Linked DNA regions of Tamandua tetradactyla. The protein of the gene in region 2 interacts with the protein of the main gene of each other region in a pairwise test. Links are inferred from orthologs where the notes say so. Each region holds a gene or a part of one and is shown on either strand. Other genes may lie near its edges.

Region 1 (7,018 bases), on a different chromosome or scaffold from region 2:
GTAATTCAGAGGAATAAAATATTTTGCTTTAATCTCTTCTATAGTCAGAGATTTCGTGTGCCTATTGAACATGCTGTTCTTTTCTAAAATAATAACATGTCACCTGCAAAGTTATTAGAGTCAAAGTAACTAGCAAGAAGCTTTGTTGGCCTTCTCTCCTTAGAAATTCTGAACTACAACCTTCAAAAAGTCACTGTCAAAAAGATGTTCATGATATACTCTTAAGAAAAAAAAAGTAGGGTTATAACAATTGTACAGAATTATCCTATTTTAGGAAAAATATTACATAGAATATTGCAAAGAAATAAGTCTGAAAACCCGTATTGCAAAGTCTTAACAGTGGTTATTATTTTGGGGGGGTGAGATTATAAGTATTTTTAATTTTAATATTTTTCTTGCCTATAAATATATTTTAACTTATCTTCAATGCACATATATTATTGTGGTAAGGAAAATTATTACATAGTTTAGTAAATAAGTATTTTATTCATTTTCAGCACATTATATTTTTATATGTAAAAATAAAAAAGTATTTTTATACTTTTAAAAAATCCTTATATATACTTATCTGTATCACTTATATCTGTATCATATAAGCAGATTAAAATTTTAAGTATAATTTCCAAAATAGTAAAATCATGACTTTCATATAAATATAAGTGCTTAATGGACACAGGATTTCATTTTGGAATGATGAAAATGTTCTGGAATTAGTAATGGTTATAGCTGTACAACATTGTGAATATAACAAAAACTACTAAATTGTATACTTTTAAATGGTTAAAATGATAAATTTTATGTTATATGAGTTTTATTTTACATTCTAAAAAGTTAGAGAAAAAAAAAAACTTCTGAAGGCAACAGGCAACTTCACACCAACTCAGATTATTATAATCAAAAGAGACCCAGGTTCGATTCCCAAAGCCTGCCCATGCCAAAAAACAAACAACAACAACTACTACATAAAAAACAAAAACAGGAAAATGCACAAAGTTCCTCTTTGGAAAGATGGACATATTCTGGTATTGGATGGTGGTGATGACAGAACATTGTGAATGTAATTAACATTTCTGAACTGTACATCTGAATGTGGTTAAAAGGGGAAATGTTAGGTTGCTTATAAGATACTAGAATAAAAATTTTTTAAAAACTCCATGGAACAGCATAACACAGTGAATCCTAAGTTAAACTATGGACTAAAGTGAATAGTACAATTATTAAAATGTGCTTTCATCAACTGTAACAAATATATCACACCTATGCAAAGTATTAATGGGGTGGTATATGGGAATCCTGTGTTTTATGCATGATTGTTGTATAAACCTACAACTTCTCTAATTAAAAAAGTAAAGGTTCTAACTTCTTCAAATATATGGGGAGTCATAAAACAATGAGATACTGATTTACTTTAGATTAGAATAAAAGGTAAACTATAACTACGGATTTATTAAAAACAAAATGAATAGCCTCGAATCACTAGAAAAAAAGAGACTAGAAGGAATTGTTCTTAGATATTAATAGTGGTTACCTCAGAATGTCTCAGGTAAAACAACAACAGGTCTTCTGTAGAGAAAATATTCTTTGAAGCTTTTATTTCCTCTTTAGGTTTGTAAACTATGCTCAGTTGTGACTATCCTTAGTTGAATGGAATGTTAATGTATGTACTCAACAAACATTTATGATTGCCTACTACATGCTAAGAACCGGGTATTGAAAAATGAAGAAGGCATGGTTTCTACCCTTGGAAAAGAATTTCAAAATTCTATTAAAAACAAGCTCTCCTTTCCTTGTCTTTACTACTCAAAAAAGGACACTGCTGAGTTTCTAGGCCTTATATGAGATGCCACTCTGTTACACTATATAAGTTCATTTTTCCTATATTAATTAAAAAATACTTATTGACTACTTTGTGTCTAAAATGAAATAGATACAATCCTGAAGAATGTATTTCAAAGTTCCCCTTGTAACAGAGTATCTTGTTTTTAGCACAAGAAGAGCATTACTAGGTTTCTATATCACATATACATTGTCATTTTATTATACTGTATCATTCCATCCTTACCTATAGGCTTCTGTATATGAAGGAAAATCTGATAAAATGATCTGAATAAAATTTGATAAAATGATCCAGTCTTTATTATGTCTTATATTACTTTCTGGCTTGTGTTCTTGTTTCAATGACAACCTGAAGACTTAGCCATCCAGATGTCAACAATTCTAGTAAAGAAAGAAAAGACATGTTGCTAGCTTATTAAATTTTTCCAAACTTTCACTAATTTTTAAAGTAAGAACTATTTTTTAAATTTCAGTCTAAAGTATCTATTAAGTCATACCATTTATTTACTGGTAATACAGCTAAGAGTTCTAAATAATATACATTACACTCTGTTAAACCCATTGGAGAACTGTAATCCATCCCAGAAAAATGTAACTTAATTTCATTGTAATTATATTTATAGAACCTTGGTAGAATCATGAAGTAGGTAAAATAATTTGTAGCAAATATAAGCAAACACTTCCAAAAGGTGCTCTCGGCATAGGTTTACTCCTCTAACATGATTTACGGTTTATTTTTACCACGGAACAGATAGATTGAGGTGCCCTGTGCTTGGTTACACTTAATAAAACATGACCCTGTTCACTTTTTAAAAAATATTATCCTAATTATACTACTGGTATTCCTCTGCTTTCAAAATAAAGGAGAATTTGAATATATGATGTATAATTAAAGAACTGTCTCACACCTAAGGAAGTCACAATTTCTACACAGGCAGTCAAACTGGAGTAATTGCTAAGCTCAGAAGCTAGCAGTTAAGCACTGTTTCACAGACTGCTCTCGGCACTAAAACACAAAATCTGTGCTGTCATACCACTTACTGATTTTTGCTTTAAAGTATATAAAGTTTTGATCGAGGTCAGAAAGCCCCACGATATGCCAGGTCCTGACAGAAGGTTAGAGTTGAAAGGTAATCAATCAGGTTCAGGCCTGGTTAAAAATTCAAACATCCTCAATACTGCAGGAATGAGACTATGGTATTGGAATAATACGTTAAGATACAGGGCTTTCTGAGCAGACTAGTGGTTATCAGGGGTTGCTTAATGGGCAAGGTGTTTCCTTTTAAGGTAAAAATGTCTTGCACAACACTGATAATGTACCGAATGCCAAAGAACTGTACACTTTAAAACGGTACTTTTTAAAAGTAAAACATAAAATAATTTTTTTTTTTAAAAAGCACGATACAGGGCTTTCTGGCAGAAATGAACTTCACTTGGAGAAGGCCCAGACATTACAATGCCTATCCATCGGTAGCAAAATCGGATAGTGTCACGCCCACCTCAAACAAAGCAGTGTGGAAAGCTTCAAGTATTCTCCCGGCTCGACCCTAGCTTTAATAACAGCCAATTAGCCGGCACTCGACGTGCTGGACTCATTTAGGTGAGAATGAGAAATCACCAAGACATTCGTCAAACTCTTCTAGAAAGAGGCATCACCAGTCACCTAGAAATACTCTGTGAGCAATAGGCAACACACACCAAGGGTGGGAACCACAGAAGCCATTTTTTTTTAAGGTTTTTTTTGGGTTTTTTTGTTTTGTTGTTGTTGTTTGTCATGAGGGGAGGGTACTCAGAAGATTCTATAAGCCAAAAACGACATTACATTCCAACCTAGGTGCTTAATTACAACGGATGCATTTGCCAACGGGGAAGCGTCTCACGGTGAAATGTGAAAACCCAGTCTAACTCTCTTTCTCAGGCGTCGAAACTTTCTTCCAACGCTCACCACCATCACCGCCATCATCGCCATACCCGTCAGCAGAAAAGCTCCCTCCACCAGCCGAAGAGGGCGGAGACTTAGAGGGCACTCCCGCCCCACAGCGCGAACTGCGCCCGCTGGGATTCCTGGGATCTGTAGTTTTAGTCAGCGTCCATCCTTTGTGTAGACACGTAAGGAGAGAGCCAGAAAACTACAATTCCCAGAGTGGACCGGGGTGGCGAGCACCCGCGGCAGTGACGACTGTGGCCGAGAAGGCCCGAAGGGCTCTGCGTTCTGGAGTGGCGCTGCTTGAACGGGTGGCAGGGTGCAGGCTGGTATCTCCGCGGCTGAGGCGAACGGCGGGTGGATTCGGCATTTCCTGTCGAGATCCCCGCAACGATGAGTGCTGCCAGGGAGTCCCACCCGCACGGGGTGAAGCGTTCAGCCTCCCCAGACGACGATGTAAATAACAATGGAGGAATGGTTGAGGGTTGAGGCCTACTAAAGGCTGCGGTAGGCCGGAAAGGGTGGATGAAGAAGAACGCGCCAGAGGTGGCCCAAAGGCGGAAGGTTGGGGGGGGGGGGAGGAACCAGTAGAATTACTGGAAATGTATATCTTCCTTAGTTAGGGTCGGAAAGTGTGAAAACAAGGTCCATACGCCAAGAGCCAGAGACCTGCGTAGGAAGGGGGCTTGAAGAAGGATACCCTCAAAGGGTCAAGAAGTGAAAGAGCTTAATGAAAGGATCCTCATATTTGCGTATTTGGAGAAAAAGGAATGGGGAATGTGATAGTGCTTCTTTTGGACCTTTCTATTCAGCGTAGAAATAGCAAGACTTTCTGTGTTTTACCTTTTAATTACACCTATGATAACGTCAAGATGTTCGTCAGATTGAAGTAAATTTTTTGGGCAGGGTGGTTTTTCAGTGTACTCGTATGACCGAAAACAATGTTAGGCCGAAAATTTTACCAGGGGAATAATTTGGTACTGGCACATGGTGGTGAGGTCCAAGGCGGTGAGACCTAGAAGTCCATTTTGATGTCAGATGCCTCATTTTCCCTTCTCTTGGGAAAATTCTTCCAGCTCAGTTTGTCAGTTTAAATAACAAACCACTAACTCTTTAAAGTAACCCATAAAATATTTACTGCTTTACCTGGTGTTGGGAATGCAGAGATGAATAGGTATCGTGCGCCTTTTTGTATATTTGTCGTAGCGCAGTGTCATGGAGACTGCAGGTAATCGGTATACCTAAAACCAAATCTTTCCTACAATAGATGATGCCATGGGAACGTTGATGGGGAAATTGAGGTTACGGGTGGGCTGGGAGGTGGAAAAGTCCTTACAGGCGAGGTCAAATTTAAGGATAATGAAGGGATGACATCTAGTTTTATTTCAGTTACTGTTACTGATTTTTGAATGTGTAGACTTTTCAATAATGCAGTTAAATGCTTCTCATAATCTTATTTTGTGAACCATAAGAAGGCGGTGGAATACTACTAATGCCATCAGTTGTAATAGAGGAAATGGTGGTAAGAGCCACTCCTCTGTAGTTGGAAGGTGAGATGAAGACCAGAACTGTAAGGGTGTTTAAGGAGATTAATTTTAGGTCCTTAGATTTGGGACTAATGGTTATCCAGTAAGTTTTATTTATGCCCTCTCTTTCTCCCTTCTACTAGCCTTCAGGGTTTTGAGTAACTTAGCTGCCATTTTTAAAGCTATTTGTTTTCCTCCTGGTATTTGTTAGCTGTGGCTTGATTGCTAGGATGTCAGCCACCTGTTTTGCAGAGAAATAATTAGCCTAACAGAAAACTCCAGGTGATATTTTTGTTATTTAACGGAAAGTTAAAGGGATTAAGTCTCTGCAACTTCTGATGCAGTCAGTTAAACTCTATCTTTAAAACCTTTTAAAATTCTAGAGTCATTCCCTTTGAAGGAGATCGTTATAGTTGCAATTCAAGATTAGGGCCTTCACACACTAAAAATGATTTTATTGCTAATGTTATAGTACAGTGCAGTACAGTAAGTTTCCCTCGATCTTGTTTGAAGTCAGTTTTTTCTTTAATGTGAATTTTTATTATTTTTACTGGTAATTGGGGTTATCGTTAAGTACTTGATTTTAGTAATTTTTAGTAGTTTTTTAATTATTACTTTAATAATGTAAAGTATATTACATTATTACATTATTACTTTAAAAATGTGAAATATATTTTAAAGAAATAAATCTAAATTGTTGTGGAAAACCAACTTAGTTATAATACATAGTTGGTCAACAGTCTCTAATGAACGTCCACTGCATGTAAAATACATCACTTTTCCTTTGCCCACTGAGCTTATTTGTTAATTGGAAGTAACGATATATACATATTTTTGGAAGTAACTGTATTTTAAAAGATATTAAAAGTAGAAATTGCATTAACAAATAGAACTCTCAGAAAATGTTGGCAGTATAGAAGTAAATTTTAAGTAAGCATTATTAGGGGATGTTTCGAGGAGGTAGATTGATTGCAGTTCTATGGTAAATGTTATTAAGGGTACTGAGGATGAAGACAACTTAAAAATTGCTTCAGTGGTTTCAGTGTTTTATTGATTTGATTGGAATGGAGAAATCAAAACTATCTTTGGGGAGTGGGGAGGTTAATTTTAGCAACTGGTGGAGAGAGAATATACTGGGCCTCCCTGTGCTTTTTCGAATGCAGCACTTGAACGATGTACTACTTGCTCTTATACTCTAAGGCCTTTGAAAGGAAGCATGAGAGGACTAAATGGATGAATCAGAAGGATTAAAGAAAACATTAAGATGATAGGGTTGTTTATGTAAATCATTGAGAATGTTTGTTCTTTCAATGTTGATAGAATGGGAAAAGTTTTGTTTTTTAGACAGGTTTCTTTTTAACTTAAATCTGTACAATTTTATAACTGGTTCATAGGCTATTTTCTCATACTCTTATTTCATCTGATCATCCAATATGATGTGGAAAGAGCAGAGGAGTTAAGGTTAGAGGATCTAGGCAAGTTACTTAGCCTCTCTGCACCTCAGGATCCTTATTTGTTAAATGGACTGTTGTAAGGAGCTCTTGAGAGAATGTAAGTGAAAAGCACTTTGTAAATTGCAAAACATTGAGCAGTTGTTTGTGTTAAGACAATCTTTTAAAGAAGCCTCTGTAGATAAGGAATTAAAACTAAGAATTTAAATGTTAGGTTTAGACTCACAAAGGAGGAGATTTAGTGAAAAGCCGAACTGAAGTTTCACCAGTACTTTTTTTTT
Region 2 (7,049 bases):
TGGCCTACCAAATGGAGGGAAATACTTCATTTAGTAGGAAAGATCATGAATGAGACTCATGTCTCCATATAGCTGAGACAGTTCAGTATTGATTTCAGTTACACCCTGAAATTTACCAAGTTGATACCATATGTTAATAGGGCAGGATAAAAGTATGTCTTAAGCTTGTGAGAAAAAAAACTACAAATATTTTATTGGAACTGGATGTAAACATCCCATATTTCCCAATTTTGAAGAGACATTTGACATTTGCTCAAAGCAATTTCTACAAGTTTCACTCTTGAAAGGAGTGTAGGTAGTGTATTCCTATCAACCCACACTTGGAAACTCATGTTTAGCTTTGGCCTAGTTTGCTTTGTTAATGCTTAGTCCATTTTGATGTTAAGGAGAAATCGCATTTTCCTTTTGTCTAATGCACACAGTTCTCCCTCCCCACCTCCACCCACTACACTTGGCCAACAGGAGTTTTCTTTGATCATTAAGTTGTTTTTTTTAAATGCCTTTAAATATTTCTGTCCCTCATGGCTGGAAATTCACGCATAGTTCTTTAATTGCTGTACTCAGTTGCCACATTTAGATTCTTTCAAGAAGTTGTTACCAGCCTCCTAGAGCCTTCTCTTGACTGACCTGTAGAATCCAGCATATTAAATAGACAGCCATACTCACAGTGAAGGAGAAGCAGTGGAACAGGTCCTTTTCTGCCACGAGGTCAGTGAAGAGGCTTTGGTTTCTCCTCAAAGACTCCAGGGAAGCCGTTACAGTCACTGTCTCATTCAGGTGGCTCAGAAGGAGGCAGCCTTTCTCGGGGGTCTCAGTGTGGAGCAGAGAGGGGACCAGCGCCATATACTGCCTGAGAAGGAAGGAAGTCCAGACAGAGCAGCAGCACTGTCACCAACAGCACCATTTCCATCACAGTTATCATCGTCATTAGTTCTAGACCAAGAGAAGACTGACTTGCTAAGCATGAATTTGACATTTTTGTTGAATAGCCTGCACGAGAATTAGTCCCCTTTTGCATCAGCAGTGCCATGGCAGTGAACACTTTACTTAAAGTGGGTCTTAAACCTATTCAAATTTTACAAATGTACGTCACTTTAAGCAATCTCTATATGCGAGTATCTGAACTCAAATTTAAAATGTCAATTGTTTATTCATGTTGTAAATCTATTTTACATGAGGATTGCTGGGGCATGGGATGTGGGTATTATAAAAGCCAGTCAATTTACAGAACTTTAATTGCCTATGTATATTCAATAACCTAGTGAAAATGAAATGGCAATCTGAGGCCTAAAGAAAGTGAATCAACAGCCAAAAGTTTTAATTGTGGTAAATAATGAAGTCTTAATGTATTACCTACACATGGGCGTTTGCATTTCAAATATTTGCCTTTCATCTCATGGCTAGACAAGAGCTCCAGGATTTTAATAACTCGTGAGTTGGAAGGAGTTACTAAATATATATATGGGGCATATATGTGACCTGCAATTTTTCAAACACTTTGATAACAGAACTCCTAATATTTTGGCACTGTTCACCCTTACATATTTTCAGGAAAACATCTATTTTTCATCACAAGTCTAAATAATAGCAAAAGATATTTCTGATGACATTTTAAATGAAAACTTACATTACCCTTATAAGGTGTCCATGAAATTTTATATATCATAGTAGGAGATCCAATATCATCTATTTTTAAAATATATTAAAAATCCTTTTTTTTTGATGGTTATAAGTTTAACGTCTTTCCCTTTTGTCCTCCTTGAACTTGAATTTCCATGTCTCAACATACAGAAGTTTATCTTAAGATTTTTATGCTTCAAAATGTACATTTGTATATATGCAATAGTATATGAGGATGTATTAATTTAGCTTTAATTCTTTTAACTTTAATAAGACTATGAAGTTTAAAAATTTAAAATTTTTCTTCTGGGTTGAATTATTTTCAGAAGTGATTGATAAGTATGTGATAGATAAAAATATATTACAAATTCTGATTCATACATATAAAATTAACATACTTTTGAAGCACATTTTTCACAATAATGAAAGCAGACTTTCCTTCCAAATTTATGTATCCATGGATGAATATGCCTTATTGTAAGGATTAAACAAGGTTTAACATTAATTCTGTTCCTATTTTTGGGTCATGTAAATAGAAGTGCTGAGAAAAATTGTTCATATTATAATTAAATAAATGACAGGTAAAACAAATGTATCATCATCACTCATTTTTTGCAACGTTTGCATTACATGCCCCAAATAAGCAAAACTCTATTATCAGTGCATCAACTGATATTTCCTGTAGATCCTTCAATTTTATTTAAATAAAAGTTGGTCACTACCTGATCTGTAAAAGGATTTTCTCCCCTGTCATTGGAAACTTTTCACTTTCTCAATATCAACATCAGTATTTCAAATGGTTACTTTATTTGGCACAATGTGCCACTGTAGGTTCTGGTTGAAGGAGTTTATCTTTCTTTTAAAAAGTGGAAGATGGGCGATTAAGAAAAAGGGTGTGTGTGTGATATGAAAGGATCAACAGCATGATCACAGGCAGATCAAAATGAACGTAAGAGTCTGGAAATTGATAATTTTAAACGTATCAATTTTCTATGCTCTCTAGAAGGCCTTTGCATATACTTTGGGAATTTAGAGATTCTGAGATCCAGGGAGTCAGAGCAAAAGAGTCAAGGCGAAGTGAAAAATGGATAAACAAAATCTAATGATTGGAAGGGAACTTAGAGAAAAGAAGGACACAGTTTCATAGGAGAGACAAAGGAATCCTATAAAGGACAATTTGAAATAAAGGAATATTCAAACTCTGAAACTCACGGTTCTCCAGAGACGGAGGCATCCATGGGCAGGAGGACCAGGAGGAGAAGAAGACTTGGATGAAGGGGTTTGTTCTGCCCCATGCTGCAGGGAGAAAGTACGTGAAGACAGCAGATTGTATTGTGCCCTACTCCATGCACTTGGTCTGGTCCTCAAACCCCCACAAGAAACTGGGCTTTATACTGCACTTTGTGTAAACAGGAAGTTCCACCCACACAGGTCTGTAAACAAAGTTGAGGTCTCTAAACATTTTTTTGAAAGGGTCATTGCTCTTAGTGACAGCCAAATTACAGTCAAGGTTAATTCCTGGCTGGCTAAATAGAATTCCTGGAGGATAAGATCCACATTCCTGTTAGTCCACACTTTCTCTGGGTTTTACTGTAAAGCAGCTAATCAGGGCTTTTCAAGTCCTTCCCTCACCTCCTCCCCATTGCTTTTAATGGCCCTCCTTACATCTCTTGCATGAATAGTTGGCAGGGGAGACTGCAGATTAAGCAGCACTGGGCAAGCTCAAAATAGTTGTTTCACCACAAGTCACTGTGCCTGCAATCATCCATTAGATATACCTAATTAAATATGGAAGGTACTTCAGAATTCAGTAGCCCCCTGTGGAAGTATCAATCTGGATTGGAGTAATACCTTAAGCTAACAGTTTTACTTTAAGGATATTGCTAAATTGCAGATGAAGAACCAGATCCTGAAAGAATGGGAATAGGCACACATTTTCTCTTTTAAGAAAGTGAAAGATAAAAGGAAAGATAAAAAAGAAAGTGAAAGGTAAAAGTAGCAGGACCTCAAAAGTGAGTTCTGAAGTGAGTTCTGTCCTACTGTGACTGACAAAGAGCCCAATTGCCTTCTCCCTCAACTACATTACTGCCTTATGAATATGCTGCTCCTCTTCAATCATTGGTCTATGTAAACAATCCATTCATTCAACCATTCAGTTGTAGGTTCATTGAACCTACTAAGAGATAAGCGCCATGCAGTGTCCTAGAGATAGAATGATCAAAGAAGCATAAAAGTCTCAGATTCTTGTGGGGGTGAAAACAGACAAGTAAACTTTCCCCTAAAATGTATAGTTATTTCCTCTATGTCTTAGTTTGTCGAAATTATCAAACGACATTTAAAAAATTATCCATTTCCATTGAGTCTTTCTAGACTTTTAATTTATTATTATAATTTGTAATTATAATAATAATATAATTGATTTACTCTACATGGGCCACAGGGATGGGGGGAGCCCCTGAAGGACTGTGCCCACCCCAGACAACCTCGTTCTCAGAGGTGTGTGCAATAGAGACTTCAGCATCATGGGGGTGTGAGGATAGGGCAGAGTTTTTGCCTTGACCTCACTGTTCTAGTTGCTAGCTGCTGGAATGCAATATACCAGAAATGGAATGGCTTTTAAAAAGGGAACTTTAATAAGTTGCTAGTTTATAGTTCTGAGGCTGAGAAACTATCCCAATTAAAACAAATCTATAGAATAATGTTCAATCGAAGGCATCCAGGGAAAGATACCTTGGTTCAAGAAGGCTGATGAAGTTCAAGGTTTCTCTTTCAAGTGGAAGGGCACATAGTAAACACAATGAGTTCCTTTCTCATCTGGAAGGGCACATGGAGAACACAGCTTCTCATCTGCTAGCTTCTTCTCCTGGCTTCCTGTTTCATGAAGCTCCCCCAGAGACATTTTCCTTCTTCAACTCCAAAGGTTGCTGGCTGGTGGACTCTTCTTCTCGTGGCTATGTCATTCTGCTCTGCTCTCTCTGAATTGCTCTCATTCTTCAAAATGTTTCCTCTTTTATAGGACTCCAGAACTTATCAAGACCCACCCAAATGGGTGGAGACATGTCATCACCTAACCCAACTTAACAACTACTCTTGATTAAATCACATCTCCAGAGAGATGATCTGATTACAGTTTCAAACATACAGTATTGAATAGGGATTATTCTGCCTTTACAAAATGGAATTTTGATTAAAACATGGCTTTTCTAGCACACTCACCAATCTGTTTTCTAGAAGACTAGGCTTGCAGGGGGCAGGAGCATGTCAGAAAGGGGGATAGAAGCTGTGAAACATCTGTGAAAAGGACAGTGGCTCTAATTCAACACAGGCAATCTCCTCTGAAGTGAACAGAAATAACATTTCTGGTAATAACTGCTCTTGGGTCCAATTTGGCAAGATCGATCATCTCCACCATAACACTTGAAGCTGCCTGGACCAGTGGTTGCGTCCCTTGTACTTTTATGTGAGCACATATGCCGTCAGGCATAGCAGACTGTTGTGTGAGTCTCAGGCTGTCTGTGGCACCCAAGTCCCTTTCATCCTTGCCAGCTTACCTTTGTTCTTGAAAGGGAAGACTTTGGTGCTCCAGAGAGACCTCTCAGAACTGGTAGGTGCGTTCATTTGCTTTATATAGTGTAGGGAGCTTTCCACATCTCTACCCCACCCTCCACATCCTCACTTGGCATTTGGGGTGTGCAGATGTCACCCTCAGAAACCAGGGACTTGTGCTGTGATCAGGTCCACTGGATCAGCCACCCCTGACTCCTGAGTCATGACACCTTAGCGTCATTTCGTCATCTGTGTTTCTGTTTCCCTTTGGAGTTTCATCCCCGTTCTTATCTCTGTTCCTGGGGAATAAACACTGCCATGGGATCTGAAAAATAATTAGGGGAATATATTACAATGATTCTCAGCAAGCATATAACTCATCTATCTGCTAGGAGCAAAAGTGTATGGAATACTACAAAATATTATTAGTCACAAGTATTTAATATTCCACTAATTTCATTTTCTACGACAGAGAATGCAATTTCACCTGGTGGTAAAACTGGTTAAGAGAGTTTTTACTATAGTTCATTTTTGTCTCAGCAGAAAGAAATGTTATGTAAGACATGATACTTCATTTAAACTTTATTACAAAGCAGTAACAGCTGTTTCAATTTCATATTTAAGGCAAAATCTTTTCTGTGAAGCAGCTGTTTGTGTGACACAGGACCATTTTGAGAAAAATTTAAATTTGCTACTTCTCCTGTGGCTCATCGGGTCTGGGATAGGTTCCTTAAATTCACTGTGCATCTGATTTCCAAGCACGGATTTATCCCATGCAGCAGTTCAGAATACAGGAATTCTAGGTCCTTATTGGATATCTTCATTGGGCCACCCTCTCACTCCTGTAAGAAGCTCTACTGAAAGGGGTAATGTCTATAAGAGTGTATAACTTAAATACCAGGCTGCTCCAAATCTAGAAATATTCTTTTAGTATTCCCTTAAGTATCTGCTCTTGTCTCCAACATGAAACACCATAGAATACCATCTACAATTCAGCTGATCACCACACAAAATTACTGTATGTGGTTCTGGTGTTTTAAACTTTAGTAAAATAGTTGGAATAATTAAAGGAACTATTGAATTGTATAGCAGAAGAAGGAAAAGGCAAAGGTGTATAATCTTTCCTACAGTCCATGAGATAAAGCCCTAGGATATTCAATTCCCTTGATGGGGTCCTTCATCCCACTCCAGCTCCTAACTTCAGGTTCTTGTTCCAGGTACATTTCTTTTTATAAATGTACCACACTAATGTAAAGTGTTCGTAACAGGGAAAGCTGTGTGTGTGTGCGTACGTGTGTGTGTGTGGTTATATGGGTACTCTGTATTTTCTACATTATTTTTCTGTAAACCTATTTCTTATAAAAATTTTAAAAATTAAAAAAAGTACCTTGTTCTTCATTTCTTTGCTAATTTTCCAACAAACTTTTGAAAATCCCTATTTAATACTCCTAAGAATTGACCTGTCTCTGATCAGCAGTACATTTCTCCAAGTCTGGATTGTTCCAACTGGAATAATGGCTGGGCAGTGGGCTTCAGTGGGATATCCAATGGTGGTCGTTGGCACTCTGCTCTGGGGTATAAAGGCTGCACTTTACGTTCCATAGTGCAGTCCAGGGGAAGTCTGGGGGCTTGAAGCCTGGTCTTCCCTCAGATTCTACTCACCAGTGGACATTGTATCTTGCTGACCTTGATAAGTCTGCTTATAACAAAATGATTCTTACAGTTTTTAAGAATGCAATTAATTTCTAAGCCAAGATATAGTTGTTTTCTTTCTAGTTTTCTATGGCAGAATATGGGGTAAAGGTGTGTGGTGGTTTGAAACTATCTGTAGCTCAGAAAAATATGTTCTTAAAGTTAATCCATTCCTGTGGGTGTGAACCTAT

The links.
Region 1: the proteins of alpha-2-macroglobulin-like (region 2) and C8H11orf58 interact in a two-hybrid assay, tested with the Homo sapiens proteins (2 studies listed by BioGRID and IntAct). The link is inferred for Tamandua tetradactyla from reciprocal best matches to the Homo sapiens genes A2M and C11orf58.

The regions. Positions count from the first base shown.
Region 1 is NC_135334.1:92,139,491-92,146,508, forward strand, and holds the start of C8H11orf58 (small acidic protein), read left to right. Parts: upstream 1-4,001; 5' UTR 4,002-4,153; coding exon 4,154-4,216; intron 4,217-7,018.
Region 2 is NC_135333.1:71,347,159-71,354,207, forward strand, and holds the start of alpha-2-macroglobulin-like, read right to left. Parts: upstream 3,001-7,049; 5' UTR 2,916-3,000; coding exon 2,833-2,915; intron 851-2,832; coding exon 667-850; intron 1-666. UniProt on the Homo sapiens protein: Is able to inhibit all four classes of proteinases by a unique 'trapping' mechanism. This protein has a peptide stretch, called the 'bait region' which contains specific cleavage sites for different proteinases.